3 linked regions of the Caenorhabditis elegans genome follow. The protein of the gene in region 1 interacts with the protein of each later gene in a pairwise test. Each region holds a gene or a part of one and is shown in the gene's direction. Other genes may lie near its edges.

What was found. Proteins that work in one complex are often made in the same cells at the same time.
Region 2: the proteins of paa-1 (region 1) and smg-5 interact in a two-hybrid assay, tested with the Caenorhabditis elegans proteins (one study listed by BioGRID).
Region 3: the proteins of paa-1 (region 1) and sas-5 interact in a two-hybrid assay, tested with the Caenorhabditis elegans proteins (one study listed by BioGRID).

The regions. Positions count from the first base shown.
Region 1 is NC_003281.10:5,448,555-5,453,884, forward strand, and holds paa-1 (putative serine/threonine-protein phosphatase PP2A regulatory subunit), read left to right. Parts: upstream 1-2,175; 5' UTR 2,176-2,186; coding exon 2,187-2,695; intron 2,696-2,746; coding exon 2,747-3,606; intron 3,607-3,653; coding exon 3,654-3,871; intron 3,872-3,924; coding exon 3,925-4,004; intron 4,005-4,048; coding exon 4,049-4,140; intron 4,141-4,194; coding exon 4,195-4,208; 3' UTR 4,209-4,583; downstream 4,584-5,330. Other genes in the region: F48E8.8 (Hsp20/alpha crystallin family protein), read right to left, coding at 284-411, 459-644, 800-920, 966-1,082, 1,178-1,258; F48E8.4 (MRH domain-containing protein), read left to right, coding at 5,052-5,330. UniProt on the Caenorhabditis elegans protein: Acts as a scaffolding protein for phosphatase let-92 and its regulatory subunits.
Region 2 is NC_003279.8:6,733,413-6,738,622, reverse strand, and holds smg-5 (PIN domain-containing protein), read left to right. Parts: upstream 1-2,461; 5' UTR 2,462-2,470; coding exon 2,471-2,583; intron 2,584-2,691; coding exon 2,692-2,800; intron 2,801-2,861; coding exon 2,862-3,411; intron 3,412-3,477; coding exon 3,478-3,668; intron 3,669-3,754; coding exon 3,755-4,441; 3' UTR 4,442-4,594; downstream 4,595-5,210. Other genes in the region: dhod-1 (Dihydroorotate dehydrogenase (quinone), mitochondrial), read right to left, coding at 47-442, 486-1,090.
Region 3 is NC_003283.11:11,608,631-11,613,212, forward strand, and holds sas-5 (Spindle assembly abnormal protein 5), read left to right. Parts: upstream 1-2,106; 5' UTR 2,107-2,148; coding exon 2,149-2,200; intron 2,201-2,243; coding exon 2,244-2,500; intron 2,501-2,552; coding exon 2,553-2,772; intron 2,773-2,824; coding exon 2,825-2,928; intron 2,929-2,974; coding exon 2,975-3,100; intron 3,101-3,143; coding exon 3,144-3,330; intron 3,331-3,576; coding exon 3,577-3,845; 3' UTR 3,846-3,966; downstream 3,967-4,582. Other genes in the region: piit-1 (BPTI/Kunitz inhibitor domain-containing protein), read right to left, coding at 609-805, 855-971, 1,021-1,288, 1,418-1,438.

The DNA.
Region 1 (5,330 bases):
TTTTTAAATAAGTCCAAATAACCTTTAAGCAAAGTAAGGGTCGAATCTGAAACTATTTCTTGAAAACAACTTTTTTGTCTCATTCATCGAAGATTGGTTGTATTCGGAAGTGAGAGGTTGACAAGTTTTTTAAAATCCATTTTATTAATTATTCCGAAATACACATTTAGTTCCAATAGTTTCGAAATTTAAAACGTTTGAGTCATCCTTCATTTTTTCTGCCTAGTTGCTGTGATCATTTGGAGAGAGTATAAGAATTTATTAATCATTTCGAAAAAAAAAATCATTTTTGAATATCCTGTATCATTCTATTAAACTTGAAGTTATTCGGCCGGTGTTGAACAATTTGCTCCTCATTGGCGATCATTTCGTTATTCTGATTTCTTCGATTATAACGGAAGGAGAGTGGATCTGAATTTACAGTAGATTTTAAATTGGTTTTTCTTGAATTTCCTCACCTAATTTTTGTAGTGGAACAGGCGCTATGTCCACCGGCTCTGCAATATTGTTCAAGCCGATCGAGCGATTTGCGTAGAGATTTATTTCATTAAAGATATAATCATCTGACAAATTATCTGGCACCCCTCGTTTTCTTTTAGAAGTTTCCTCGATAGGTTCGGTTACAATTACATCGGTTTGTTGAGCTGAAATAGGATCCAAATTATCAAATATCCTTCTCTATTCATGTTATAAATCTTGGTTGTAAGAACAGTTAACATAATTAGTAACAATTAGAAACCTGATGTGATTAAGATTCTATCACTGTTTTTAAATAGTAAAATAAATAATTTTGACATACGTATATTGATAACTTCTCCTCTTTGTAACGCCTCAATCAATGCATCCAAATCAAGATCTCCATCACCTTGAGCCTCACGCAGTGCTCTCTCCTTTCGAAGCCTTTCCTTCAGTCGTTTAATCTGTCATTAAGCCACTAGTATACACCTTGGAGAGCCACCACAAACCTGCTCGGCTCGTCGCCGTCTACTTTCCTTATCTATCTCCTCTTCACGCTTGCCGTCTGCCCATTTGTTGAAGCTGAATGTGTTGAACACATTCGCACCGTCTCCCATTGTACTGTTCTGTAAATATATAAACTGAGCTAATGAGAAGAATACGTACTAGAGCACCACGCTTTTGCGAAAAATGAGAACCAAAAGCTCGATTGTGCACTCACTTTTGCATATTTTATTAAAGCTTTTGACGTCCTTTTCTCTTTTGTTCGCCTGTTTGAAATTTTTGAAAACCAGGAAACCATGATGATTTTAAATGTTTAATGATGTTCTTCTAACAGCATGCCCACGCGTTTTGCCTGAAAATTCGAATCAAATTAATTTTCAGCCTTTTTATTGTTTAAATATCAGAAAAAAACTGGCTGTTCACTAATCACGTGATGCCTGTGTTTTCATCCTCCCTTCTACACTGAAAATATTCTATTTTAAGGACATTTTCAGTCATTTTCCGGCGCTGTTCCCTCTGTCGTCGCCACGTCCAGTACACCGAAACCGACGACAAATCGATGAGAGCTCTACGACCGCAGGCGCGATGGATTGTGCTATTGCAGTGAGAGAGAGATGGCCGTTCTCTGCTTCTCTGCGTATCACTGTCGCAGCTGTTTCTCTTCTTCTCCTTTCGCCGCTCTTTTTTTGCATGTTCGTCAGGTTCACTATAGCGATTTCTTAATATCGAAATTTCACGAGTTTCAGAGTTGATTTTCGAAAGATCAGTGAAAATATTGTCCACGTGGTAGAGTTTTTCACTGATTTCTCGAAAATTCCAATAGTTTCTTTAAAAATCACACTCTTCTTCTTTGAACAATTCCATTTCATTGATTTTCTATATTTTCGTACAGAAATAATAATGTTTCAACAAAAATATGTTTTCTAGCACTGAACATTCTTAAATTTGAATTTAATTTTCTTAATATCAGATATTCAAAGATGACTATTCGTAGATTCTGCAAGTTCTTTCAAAATACTCAATTTTTCTATTTTCTCTCCAATTTATTTCTCCAAAAACCACCCGGTAATCAATATTTCAACACATTGCTGTGTTATCTTCACTGCGTCTCCTCTCTCTCTCTTGTTCTCCTCATGCCCGATGATAATCCGTTTCTCTTCCCGTTCTTTCTCCTTTGAATAGCCGCGAGATTAATTTTCATAAAACAAATTTCAGCACTCTTCATCATGTCGGTTGTCGAAGAAGCCACTGACGACGCGCTCTACCCGATTGCCGTGCTCATTGACGAGCTGCGCAACGAAGATGTCACGTTGCGACTGAACAGCATTCGCAAACTCTCCACAATCGCTTTGGCGTTGGGTGTGGAGCGCACACGCAACGAGCTCATCCAATTTTTGACCGACACGATTTACGACGAAGATGAGGTTCTGCTTGTGCTCGCCGAGCAACTCGGAAATTTCACTCCATTGGTCGGTGGTCCAGATCATGTTCATTGTCTTCTCCTTCCACTTGAGAACTTGGCCACAGTCGAGGAGACCGTGGTCCGTGACAAAGCCGTTGAGAGTCTCCGCAAAATCGCCGACAAGCACAGCTCGGCCTCATTGGAGGAGCATTTCGTGCCGATGCTCAGACGTTTGGCCACTGGAGACTGGTTCACATCCCGTACCTCGGCTTGTGGGCTTTTCTCTGTTGTTTATCCACGTGTCAGTCCAGCTATCAAGTCGGAATTGAAGAGGTGAGAATTAAGAAAAGAATAACTAAAGCAATCTAAATTAATTATTTTCAGCATGTTCCGAACCCTGTGCCGTGATGACACCCCAATGGTTCGCCGTGCTGCTGCTGCAAAGCTCGGAGAGTTCGCAAAGGTGTTTGAGAAGACTGCCGTCATCGAGGGTCTCCACTCCAGTCTCACTGATCTTCATGTTGATGAGCAAGATTCTGTTCGTTTGCTCACTGTCGAGTCAGCCATCGCTTTCGGAACTCTCCTCGATAAGGCTAACAAGAAGAAACTCATCGAGCCAATTCTCATTGAATTGTTCGATGACAAGTCGTGGAGAGTTCGTTATATGGTTGCCGAGAAGCTTATCGAGATTCAGAATGTCCTCGGTGAGGATATGGATACCACACATCTCGTTAACATGTACACGAACCTTCTCAAGGATCCAGAGGGTGAGGTTAGATGTGCTGCCACTCAGAGACTTCAGGAATTCGCTCTCAACTTGCCAGAGGACAAGCGTCAGAACATTATCTGCAACTCACTGCTCAACGTTGCCAAGGAATTGGTTACTGATGGGAATCAGCTCGTCAAGTCGGAACTCGCCGGTGTCATCATGGGACTTGCTCCACTGATTGGCAAGGAACAAACTGTCTCTGAGCTTCTCCCAATCTACATGCAGTTGCTTAACGATCAAACCCCAGAAGTTCGCCTCAATATTATTTCCAGTCTTGATAAGGTCAATGAAGTGATCGGAGCAGCTCAATTGTCCACATCCCTCTTGCCAGCCATCGTTGGATTGGCCGAGGATGGAAAATGGAGAGTTCGACTCGCAATTGTTCAATTCATGCCACTTCTTGCTTCCCAGTTGGGACAAGAATTCTTCGATGAGAAGTTGCTTCCGCTTTGTTTGAACTGGCTTACCGACCATGGTAACTTGATTTTTTCTTAAAAATGTTTTTAATTTAATTTTTTCCAGTGTTCTCAATCCGCGAGGCATCGACCCTCATCATGAAGGAACTGACACAGAAGTTTGGAGGACAATGGGCTAGCACGAATATTGTACCAAAAATGCAGAAACTTCAGAAGGACACCAACTACCTGCAGAGAATGACATGCTTGTTCTGTTTGAATACACTCAGTGAGGCGATGACTCAGGAGCAGATTCTGAAGGAGATTATGCCAATTGTGAAAGATGTAGGGAAATTTTACTTTTTTATTTAAAGAAATCGTAATTTTTCTAATTTCAGCTTGTCGAGGATGACGTGCCGAATGTCAGATTCAACGCCGCAAAGAGTTTGAAGCGAATTGGAAAGAACTTGACCCCAAGGTGACAGGAAAATCTTTTTCACTATCCCAATTTTCTATTTTCAGTACATTGACGTCCGAGGTGAAGCCACTGCTCGAGAAGCTCGGAAAAGATTCAGACTTTGACGTTCGATACTTTTCAGAGGAAGCCAAGAACTGTAAGTTTCAGTTGTCTTAAAATTTAGAGTGAATTTGAAATTGAACATTTTCAGCACTCGGCTTGTAATCGAACATATCGCTAGTCAAATTGGAATCTCTACATCTTCCACTTCTCAATCGTCTTATTTTTCCATTTTTGTTCCCGAGCACGCGAATAATCTCTATCTCTCCTCATTCATTTGTAAATGTTTAGCCCTCGAGACAAAACTCTGTATTGTAATAGTTCTAACCACCGTCCCTCCCACAACAAAACAATACAAATTATAATCGTTAAATTATGCGACCTCTCTTTATGATTATTTTCATTTTCCTCCCACTTCTATCCCGTATATTTCACCATCCTACTTCTTTCTGTTCTTTTTCCACCACACACAATCACCACTTTTTCCATTGCGACCCATTCATTCATTTATTTTTTTTGCAGAATAAAAGGTCATCGTCTATTATGAGAAAAAAGGTCTCAGGTTAGGTTAGATCAGTGTGGTTGAAATCTCTGAAAATATTTGGAATAATGGTGTTATCCGGCGTATGCCACGTCGCAGAAGCTTTTGAGCAGAGAATCTCGGTGCTTTTGCAACGTGGATTAAATATTGCTCAAGTTGCAAGCGTTGTGAAACGTCTCATTCAAATAAAAAATTTACTTTTGCCATTTGGAACTTTGAAACCATCTTTTTGGCCGTTTGGCAAATCCAGCTGGCAAAGAGCGGGCATAAATTTATATTAAACGCGCAGTTTCCCGATTGATTGTCTCAGAAACTTCCAGTGCTCAGATTTTGCCACGTGGCTAGAAGTTTTCGTTGCCAAAATTATTTTTTCCAATTAAAAAACTGTTCGCATTTACTTTTCAATTTTTCAATTCAATCGGAGAATTGTTTACGTAGTTTCTCTTTGCAGGTGCTATGCCAAGACGATGATAATTTATTTCCTCCAACTATTCCTGCTGCCGTCCACGACCGCCACGGCAGGCGTATTTGACCTTGCAGAGTACCGACGGGTCTCTTATGACGCGAATATTGGCGAGAATTTTCTTTGGTTCGCCCCGGAATTGGATATTCGAAAAGTTACAGCCAGCAATATTGATGATCTCGAAAAGCGAATTGTTAATCGGATTCCCGATGACTCGACCGAGCAGAATTTGATGTTTGTGACGAGTAAAGGAGGGCAGAAGTTTGCATGTTCTTTGCCAGAT
Region 2 (5,210 bases), on another chromosome or scaffold:
GGCCACATGTCCCAATTTACACGCCGTGAGTAGTTATAAAACTCACTTGTATATTTTTCTGACACATTCCGTACTAATTTCTCTAACCGGCGCTCCGCTCAATCCTCCTGTTTCCGTTTTATTCTCTGATCTGAGATAGTCGGGTCGTGCAATTGTGGTATTCGATACAATAATTCCATCGATCGCAAACTTTTTATTCGTCACAACTTGTGCAATGTCTTTTAATTCTGATTCAATTAGATCCGGAGCAATTTTCAGAAAAACTTGAGGCTGCTTTTCCAGCTTGTGCATTTCAAGCGCTTGGTGTACATAGGCCAACAGCTTCTCCAAATCACTTTTCTTTTGCATACTTCTGAGCCCAGGAGTGTTAGGTGATGATACATTGAGAACCAGATAATCACAATGTGGAGCAAAGTAGTTGACACCAATTTCATAATCCAATCTACAAGAACTGAAATTTAAACGTTTTTGCCTTTTTAACTGACTTTGCGTCTTCCGTAAGTTTATTCTTTCCCAAATTGACTCCAAAATATGCATAACTCTCTGGAACCCATGAATCTCTGGCACTTCGTACTCTTTGATGAACTCTTCCAACTCCATCACTATTAAATCCATATCGATTGATAACTCCTTCATCTTCCAATAACCTAAACACGCGTGGTCTATTATTTCCTGGTTGTGGTATTGGTGTTACAGATCCAATTTCAATGAGTCCAAATCCAGAATTCTTGGCCAATTGTGTAATTGCTTGTCCATCTTTATCAAATCCAGCAGCTAACCCGATAGGATTCTTGAATTCTCGTCCAAAAAGCTCACATTTCAGTTCAGGATATTCTTTTCGATTCCATCCGAAACGTGGCAAAAGTCCCCACGAAGCAGCTCGAACCGCCCATCGATGTGAATCTTCTCCATCGACAAATTTGTGTACCATTGGCATTACTGCCTTTTTGTAGAACGTTTCCGAACCATATAGAAGTTCAAGTGCTGTGTAACTGGCAATTCCTGTCGCGAGTACAATTACTGTCGACTTGCTTATTGCACCAGGTGGAAGTTTGGAGTAGATGTATTTTTGTTCGGCATTTTGACTCATTCTTCAGTAGAAATTCAGGATGATTTATTCAAATCAGCAACAAATTTCTCCAGCTGAAAAAAAAAAATTAAAATGATCAATGTGGCTGAGTTTTCTTTTGGAAGTTTTCACTTTTATAAGTAGAAATACAGGTAAAGTATCTTAAAGTTAAAAAAAAAACTTGCCTGCTCTGAAGTGAAATCCAAAACTTGTGTCTCGCCGTCTTCGTAATGGAGTACAAGTTGAAAGAATGGTTGAAAGAGACTGGGAGAAGAGTCGCAGCTAGCAGACGCCTAAATTATTTGGAAATTTGAATTGATAAGCTCGATAACTAATGGTTGAAGGTTATCTTAGATAACAGGGGAATCTAGTACAAAGTATAATAAACTATTTAAATCAAAATGAAATGTTAAAGAGTAGTGTCGTTTTATTTTAAATTACTTTGAAAAAGTTAAGTTGGGAAATGAAAGATTGGCAGAATCTACATTTTTATGAAAGTTTAGGGCAAAAAAATGGCATGAGAACATCTGAAATGTTTGCAGCATGGTGTCTTGGCGGTGGTTGATGATGATAAAAGTGACAAAAAAGATAAGATGCGATGATGAAGTGTCGAGAGAAGAAATGAATGAAAATCGACGCGATAGATCAGAAATCACATTTTGCTTAAACTGCCGAATTTGTTTTTGAACAAATACAACGTTTTTGAAATGAATATTTTCTTTTTTATTCAGTTTATGTCACCTCAATTTTCATTTTGTGCAACTTTTACACGAAAACTTTTTTTTAAAACTTACTCGAATACTGTAGTCGTATGATTTAAGTTTCTTCTTGATAGTTTGATGGTTTTCCGCTCCTAATGACATACAATCTGAAACTTTAAGAATTTAAAATAAGAAATACTATTTAGTTTGAAGATAAAGAAACAAGTGATTTTTAGACATGAGAACAATTTTAATTTCAAGAGGTTTTTCTTTTTTATTGGAAAAATTAATAATTATACAGTTTTTGCGTATATACTTACAACAAATATTATACAGCTATGGAAACAGATTTTTAGCAAATGAAAACACTTGAAAACACAAGATTTATGTCCAATTTTGAACTAAAACGCTGAAATTTAATTCTAAAATCTTTCGAAACACATTTTTTAATTGAATTTTAAGAGAAAATATTTAGAAAATTGGAGAAAAAACATTATATTTCAATAAAAACTGAAGAAAATAAAGAGAAAAATGAACTGAATTGTGGGCGTGGCCAATTTGCAACATAGTGCGCAGTTTCTTCTTGATTTTTTTTTCGCAGTCGTTATTTTGTTTTCCTCTTCCTTTTATATTCAATAACTATTATTATAATTATCCGGTTATCCATCTGTCTTTAATTTATTTTTTTCAGAATATAAATATGCAAAAGTCAGATGAAGTCACTGAAAAGTTCAAACGATATTGTAATCAACTGGAAAAATACGGCCAAACTGAAAATGTGCATTCTCCAGTGATGGCGATGTTGCGCAGAAAGTATGTTTTATTCTGTAACAAAAACTTAAAATACAACAGCTTGAGTCAGAAACTATGAAATTAATAAACGATCTTTAAGTTTAAAATTTAAAGAATTACAATTTTCAGAGGCCGAAAACAGCTCATTGAGATTATGAAACGCGACGGGGACTGTACAAGTTCAATCAATAAATTGTGGATTGTTGGATATTATCACCCTTTCCAGTTTTTTATTCGAGTAAGATTAACTTTTAGTCATTGTATTATTTTTATTTGATTTCCAAAGGTTCTTATTACAGGATAAGGAGAAAAACATGGCAATAGCCGTGTTGCTGACAATGTTCTGTGGAGAGCTTCAAGAAATGCTTTCGCTTCCCGATGACAAATACCCAGCATTGTGGAACATGTACATTGGAGATTTTCATCGTTATATGCCAGACGAAGAAATTCAGAAATGCTTGGCAGTTGGATATTATTCAAGAGCAATCGATCTAGATCCGAATCAAGGAAGAGCTTTCCACGTTCTCGCTGGTCTCCGAGCTGACCTGAATGTTGCACAGAAGCTGAGACTGATGATTTTAGGACAGCTCGCCGATGCTCCATATAAAAAAGGCACTGAACTCTTGGAATATTTGAAATTTCCACAAAAAGAATCCACTGATAAATTGATGGTAGATTTTGTCATTTGGGCATTGAACGAGAAATCAAAACGAATGGATTATCAGATGACTGGAATCAAAATAGTAAACGAGTTTAAAGCAGAAATCGAACAGAAACTCGAATTCGATTGGTCTCTGATCATGTCAACGTGTCGTTTAGCATCTAAATTGGCAATGAAGAAATTTGGATGTAAGTACCGATTCCAATATCTATAGAAAATTCTTATTCTGCTGTAGGATAACATAATTTTTTCAGTTCAACAATTCTACAATTGCTTCGACACAATTTCAACGCTGTATATTACAATTTATTCACGTACGATTTCATCCAAATGCCTTCTAGCTGAAGCTATCTCATGGATTTCCGATTCAGCCGAAATACTCGGACACTTGGATGAGCAGAAAAATGAGCCACATTTCCAGAAGCTATCGGTTTTCGCCAAAACGGTAAGATTTAGAGATAAGAAAATGTAGAATAGATGTTTCAATTTTAAAATCAAGGGGAATTAATTATAAATATAACTTATTTTCAGAAATGGAACGAGCTCAACGACTTGGTTATGAATCATATCAATTCCGTATTCACATCCATGTCACTCACAATCAATCCATCTATTTCTATGACCAGCTTTCTGCTGAATGGTCCAATATCCGAACCCAATGTTGAATTTTTGAGTCAATTAATCAATTATCTGGTTTCCGTCGAATTCCCACCAATGGAGATAATCCACGATAGAGAAGAATCGGGTCCATTGCTACGACGAATTAATCAATCGGAACAAAAACGTTTGGATATTCAAATAAAGACACAAAATGATGAAGTTAACCGGGAGGATTGGAGACCTGTTTATGTATTGATGGATTATGACGTCATAGTTGACAAAATAAGAATTGCTCTAAAAATTTGGGATATCGATGATTTCATCTGCATTTTGCCATCAACAGTGCTTGATGAACTTGATTATCAGAAAACGAAGAATCGAGCAGTTCGTCCAGTAATTCGGGCATTAATGGAGCTTCAAGCAGAGGGAAAAATTGTGCTAAAGAAATGTGATAACGAGAGAAGCTGCGCGGAGCAATTGGTTCAAAGTGCACGAAGATCTGCAGAAGATCACAAGCATATTGTCGCTTTTCTGTGCAAAAACCCGAGTGAACAGAAAGAAATGGAAGGAGTTACTTTTTACGATATCGATCAGTTCTACATGAAGTATTTGGAGTGATGAAAAGAAAGGGCTCTACACTGAAAAATCTCACGATGGCTGGAATTGGAACCGCTTAAAATCATTGAGATCATATTCTTCGGATTTATTTTTGATTTATTTTACTGGATTCAATTATTTGACAATTTTTTGGTAATAAAATTTTCTAATTAACTCTTTTCAAATCATTTCACAATAGTATTAAATTAATAGTAGTACTATGTTCCATTTCGTTCAAATTGAAAATTCCAAGAGCACTCCCACGTATCTAAACAATTATGAATTCTTTTGCCACCCCCGTAAACCATTTAGAAAATTGCATTTTCATTTCACAATCATACCTTTTCGATTCCTATCAGCCTACTATAAATTGATTTTCATGAAGTAAGTAACATTTTCAATTTTTATGCTCCGCAAATCGAAGCTACACATTCCCTGACTGTGAGTATTCTAGAGTACTGTAAGTCTACTATTTTGCTAAACGTGCGAAAACTTCCAGATACCGAATTAGTTCCAGAACATTCACCCTCACTAAAAACTCTAAAATCACCTTAATTTGAATGTTCCTCTGTGTCCCGTCAGACAGTGTCTAGGGCCGATTCTCAGTCAGATAAATAGCGCTCTTCTTTTAGAAACAGGGTGAGAGGAGATTGTATCACTCTCATATCGAGGTCATTCAAATGAAAAGAGGTATACTTTTGTTGATTGAAATACATTTGTGTAAAGTTGAGATGTTTCGATTTGAAAACTTGAGAAAAAAATCTGGTTTTGTTTACTAATTGCGGCTTTT
Region 3 (4,582 bases), on another chromosome or scaffold:
ATTGGACAGAAAGATAAAAAATTGTTGTGAAACGGTGTTTTTTGTTGTTTAGAGTATGTCAAAATGGATGCAATTGGTTCTAGTTACTTCCGTGTTGAGTTTGCAAACGAGGTTCAGATAAAGAGAAAAAAGGAAGTATTTCTATAGATATTTTTCTGTAAAATTTTTTACTGGTTATAGATGTGAGTTTGATATTATAGGTGTGGGTCGCAATACTATTAGAGAAAATGGGGTATTATTTTTAGTGATAGATTTTACTTTAAACTAGGGCTGAATAATAAACGAACCTGGTTGTACTTTGATTGAAAACCATACTCTTGACATGGAGACAAATTACAGGATAAATATAACTGAAGTTTTGTAGTTCCCAAAAGGAAAAACGTTGCCTTAATGTATATAAATTATTATTTTTGCATCACATTCAAAATTATTTTTTAGATTATATAAAAAATATTTAAAAGAAATGAGATAAAAATTGTTTATGAGTGGATGATAATACAGTTAAATCATACTTTGAAAATTACCCGAAAAAAAACTACAAAAATGCCAACTCTTAAAAATAACTTGTTTTTCATAATACAGATAATTCCAGGAATTCAAATATCGTCTTATTGGGAAGTTCTTGTTTGATTTCCACAGGTTGCCATACATGAGTTGTAGTTGGGGAAGTTGTTGGCATTTCCGAGAGTTCCATAGAATGAGAAACGCATGCAAGTTGTGTATTTTGGAACCCAGAAGTATTTGTCACTTTTCTCTCCTCCGACAGCAAACTTTCCAGAGTCATATGTCAAGTTGCAAAGATAGTCTGTGAATTTGAAATTTAAGAATAAAACATTTAAACATTTGATGCTTACTGGATGTTGGACAACAGAATGATTGAATACAGTTATGACCCTGTGGGCAAGTATTAGCTCCTGCTGAGCATCTCACTGGTGTCAAGTGGTCAGTGTCATAGGTAGCAGAGCAAGCAGCTTAAAATTTTTAGAATAATTGCCATAGTTACTAGCTAACCTCACTTACACTTCATTTGAACGGTTTCATCACTTGACTCCGAGTCTCTTTGAGCTTGAGCATTGGTACAAGCTGATCTACACTCTTGTGCACTACTGAACCGGTTACTATTACCACCACATCCCTGATACATGAATGGTTGACACGTTCCAAGTCTTGGAAGATAATAGAACATTCTAGAAGAACTGTTCTCAGCGCAAGTATTTCCAGAGTCCCGTGCAGCAAAACAGTCAACAGAAGTCGATTGAGCCGCAGTGAAAGACAATAGGGAGAGAATCTAAATAATAATTACATTTAAATTAACTGAAAGTCGTATGTAGATCTAAAGTAGATCTATTTCTGGATTTAGTAGTTTTTAATTTAACTAAGTTTCAAACCTCATAATTAAAAGGATTTTAAAACTCACCACAGCCAATCTAAGTGCCATTTTAGTTTTGCCACGTGAAAATGTTGTACTCGAGTTCTGGATTTCTTTTAAATAGGCCATCGAGATTCCCGCCCCTTTAAACTATTGTACTGGCAATCGTGTAAGCTCTTGCTACCGTGCAACACCACCAACAGTCAAATCCAAATTCCAGTTTTGATCTGACCCCACGGAGCAAACATTGTGTGTATAATGTACATATACTGTTGGCTCCTTCGCACTGACTTTTTTACCACGCTGATTTATTTTGAGACACTTTTTCTGTGTCTCGCTGTCTATCTGTGTACAGAGGAAAAATTTTCTCGGAATTTTTAGAAAACCAGTCGGGAGTGTTTACTTGTTTTTTAATACTTTTAATACATTGGAAAATTGTGTAGGTTGAGAAGATTTTTTGTTTGAAAATCTGTCAATCTAAATTTGTTCAACTGATCAGGAACATTCTTCTAAATTGCAGATAATATGAGAAAGTAGAAAATTCTGTTGTTTTATAATAATATCATTTAATTTAATTACAATCTTCTTTCGTCCCCGAATGGTCATGCGAAAAGAAATGTGAGAAAATATACAATGTGCGCGCTCATCTTGCAAAAAATGTGCGCGGGGGTTGCAGCAGAGGCCACGCCCCCGCGACACCAACGCGCCAATTTTAAAGAAAAAACGTTTTATTTTCCAATTTCATAGTTTTAACAGAAATGACCTCGCATTAAGCGGGAATGAATAATTACGACGACTTACCCTGCTCTATTTACTTCAAAAAACCAACTGGTGAGTTGTTTTCGATATAAAAGTGTTAAAATTGCCAATTTAGTCCAGGAGTTTGTGGATCAACCGAGAGTCTTCGAAGATTCTGAAGTCCCTGCCTTTCAAGAAGTTCTTCAGCTTCCACAAGAAAGGACAAAACCCCCAGTACCATCTACGCAGCCAATTGTCGCCGCTGTAGAAGTAGCCAAGAAAAAATCGTGTCTTTCGGCTCCGAAACCAAGAAAAGAGCCACCTTCGCATCCAGCGCTTCGCCAAAAAACAGTTGCGTTTGGAAAAACAGTTAACGTTTCCCAAACTGTCGAGGTAATTAAATTAAAATTGTTCCATGGCATAATTCCACTAAATTATCTTTCAGGGAACATCTCGGAATTCAAAAAAAGTGCTTGCTTCAACAATGTCTGCCCAAAATACGACAACGACTGAAGAACAGGCAGCTGAAAACTGGCGGGACGCTATGAAAACAGAACTGCAAACGATACGAACAGAGATTCAAGAAGAAACGGCCCGGCGACAAGAAGAGCTCAATGCTCAAAATCTTGTTAAAATGCAAGAATTGATGTCAAACTTCTTTCAGAGTATGTTTGAATATATATTATCCCATAAATTCAATAAATAATAATTTTTCAGAGATAACGATTCCTAAACAGCAAGCGATCGAACCAGTTGAAAAAGACAAAGAAAATTTTCATGAGAGTCCTCGTCAATCAAGACAGCAGAAGCCAGCTAGTAAAGTGAGAATTCAGATAAAAAATAAATCAAAAAGTACTCCGTTTTAAGATCGCTTCGGCACGAGAAGTTATCAAAAGAGACGGTGTTATACCTCCAGAAGCATTAACAATTATTGAGCAACGCCTTCGCTCGGACCCAATGTTTCGCCAACAAATTGATAATGTTCTAGCAGACGTGAGTAGTGTATTTAAATCCGATAGAAATAGTTTGTTTTCAGGCTGAATGTGATGCTAACAGAGCTGCATATTCTCCACCACCACCAATGTCTGAAGTTAGATACGGATCTGGTGTGAATCCTGCTTTGATGAGAGAAACACTTACGGTAGAACGAAGTATTCGATATGACAACGGACTCGCTTCTATTGATTCTAGACAGTGGACAAATGAGAGACGTGATAATCGTGGTAATTTAATTTTTCAATATTCAAACACAGAATTCGTCCGCTAGAATTGTATAAATATAATAATTCACGCATTCCAAAATGTATCAAATAATTCATTAAAAATGTTTGAAAGTTGATAACCATTCGTAGTGAAAACACTTTATACTACGAAATGATTTTAAGATGAAATCCTCAAATCAGTTGAAAAATTTGAATTAAAAGTCAAAAATGAGAAGTCTCTTCACTATTCAAAAAAACCTTTTCTAGCTCCTGACTCATACCGTACCTACGAACCGGATCAACCATGTCACTCACTCTATCAAAAGGGTCAAAGTATTAGCTATTATCCGTCAGAAGCAGCTGGAAAAACGACAGCTAGAAACAATCGAACTGGATACTACGTGGAAGATTCATCAGATCATGAAGAGGATGTTGTAGTCAATAAACGGGGACAGAACTATCACGAGCAAGCGGTACCTGAGACTCCAGCTGAACGAGAACGCCGTATTCGTGAAAAATACGCTCGCAGGAAATGATATCAAATGTGTTTAACTCTTGACGTTTTAAAATTATCATTAATCACTACGTGTAATGTCTGTGAATTGTACTAAAACCATTACTTCCAGCTGTGACCTGAATAAATTTTGAATTTCATCGATTCTTTCTCATTTGATCATATGATCGAGATAGTCTCGAACTTAATTCGATTTTCAGCACTTCACACTTCTGTCATTGTTTGACAAGTACCAACTTGACCTTTCCATCGGTCTCCTTCAAGAGTTTCATTTGTGTACGAAATAAAAATGAAAATTCTAGTAGTGTACGTGTTAATTGGAGAAGTTCTACGAATTTTTAAACTACAAGTTCATAACTTTTAAAACAAACTGTTATGGCATGTACACATGTGTTCCTGTATTAAAACACTTGCTGTCTTCAGACTTTCCAATTGAAAAGATACACTTTCACTTGATTTTCCATATGCAAGCAAGCGTTTTGAACTATCACTACCTTTCTCTATTTTTGATTTCTCTTCCTGTTGACTTTTGCACCCGAATTTTTTGAATTTCTTTTGTCAAAATCTAGTAAATATTGACATTGATTATTTATAGAGAGTAGGTGGAAAATTAGAAAATATAAAAGATTAGGTGTGTCTTGTTCATCTTTGCAAATTTGTTTTTTGGCATTTTCAAAAAGTTCGAGAGAGCACCCAGATGTTTGGACTTCAACTGTTCCATTGTACTCTCCCCATTTATAAACTCTGCGATTTTTCCCA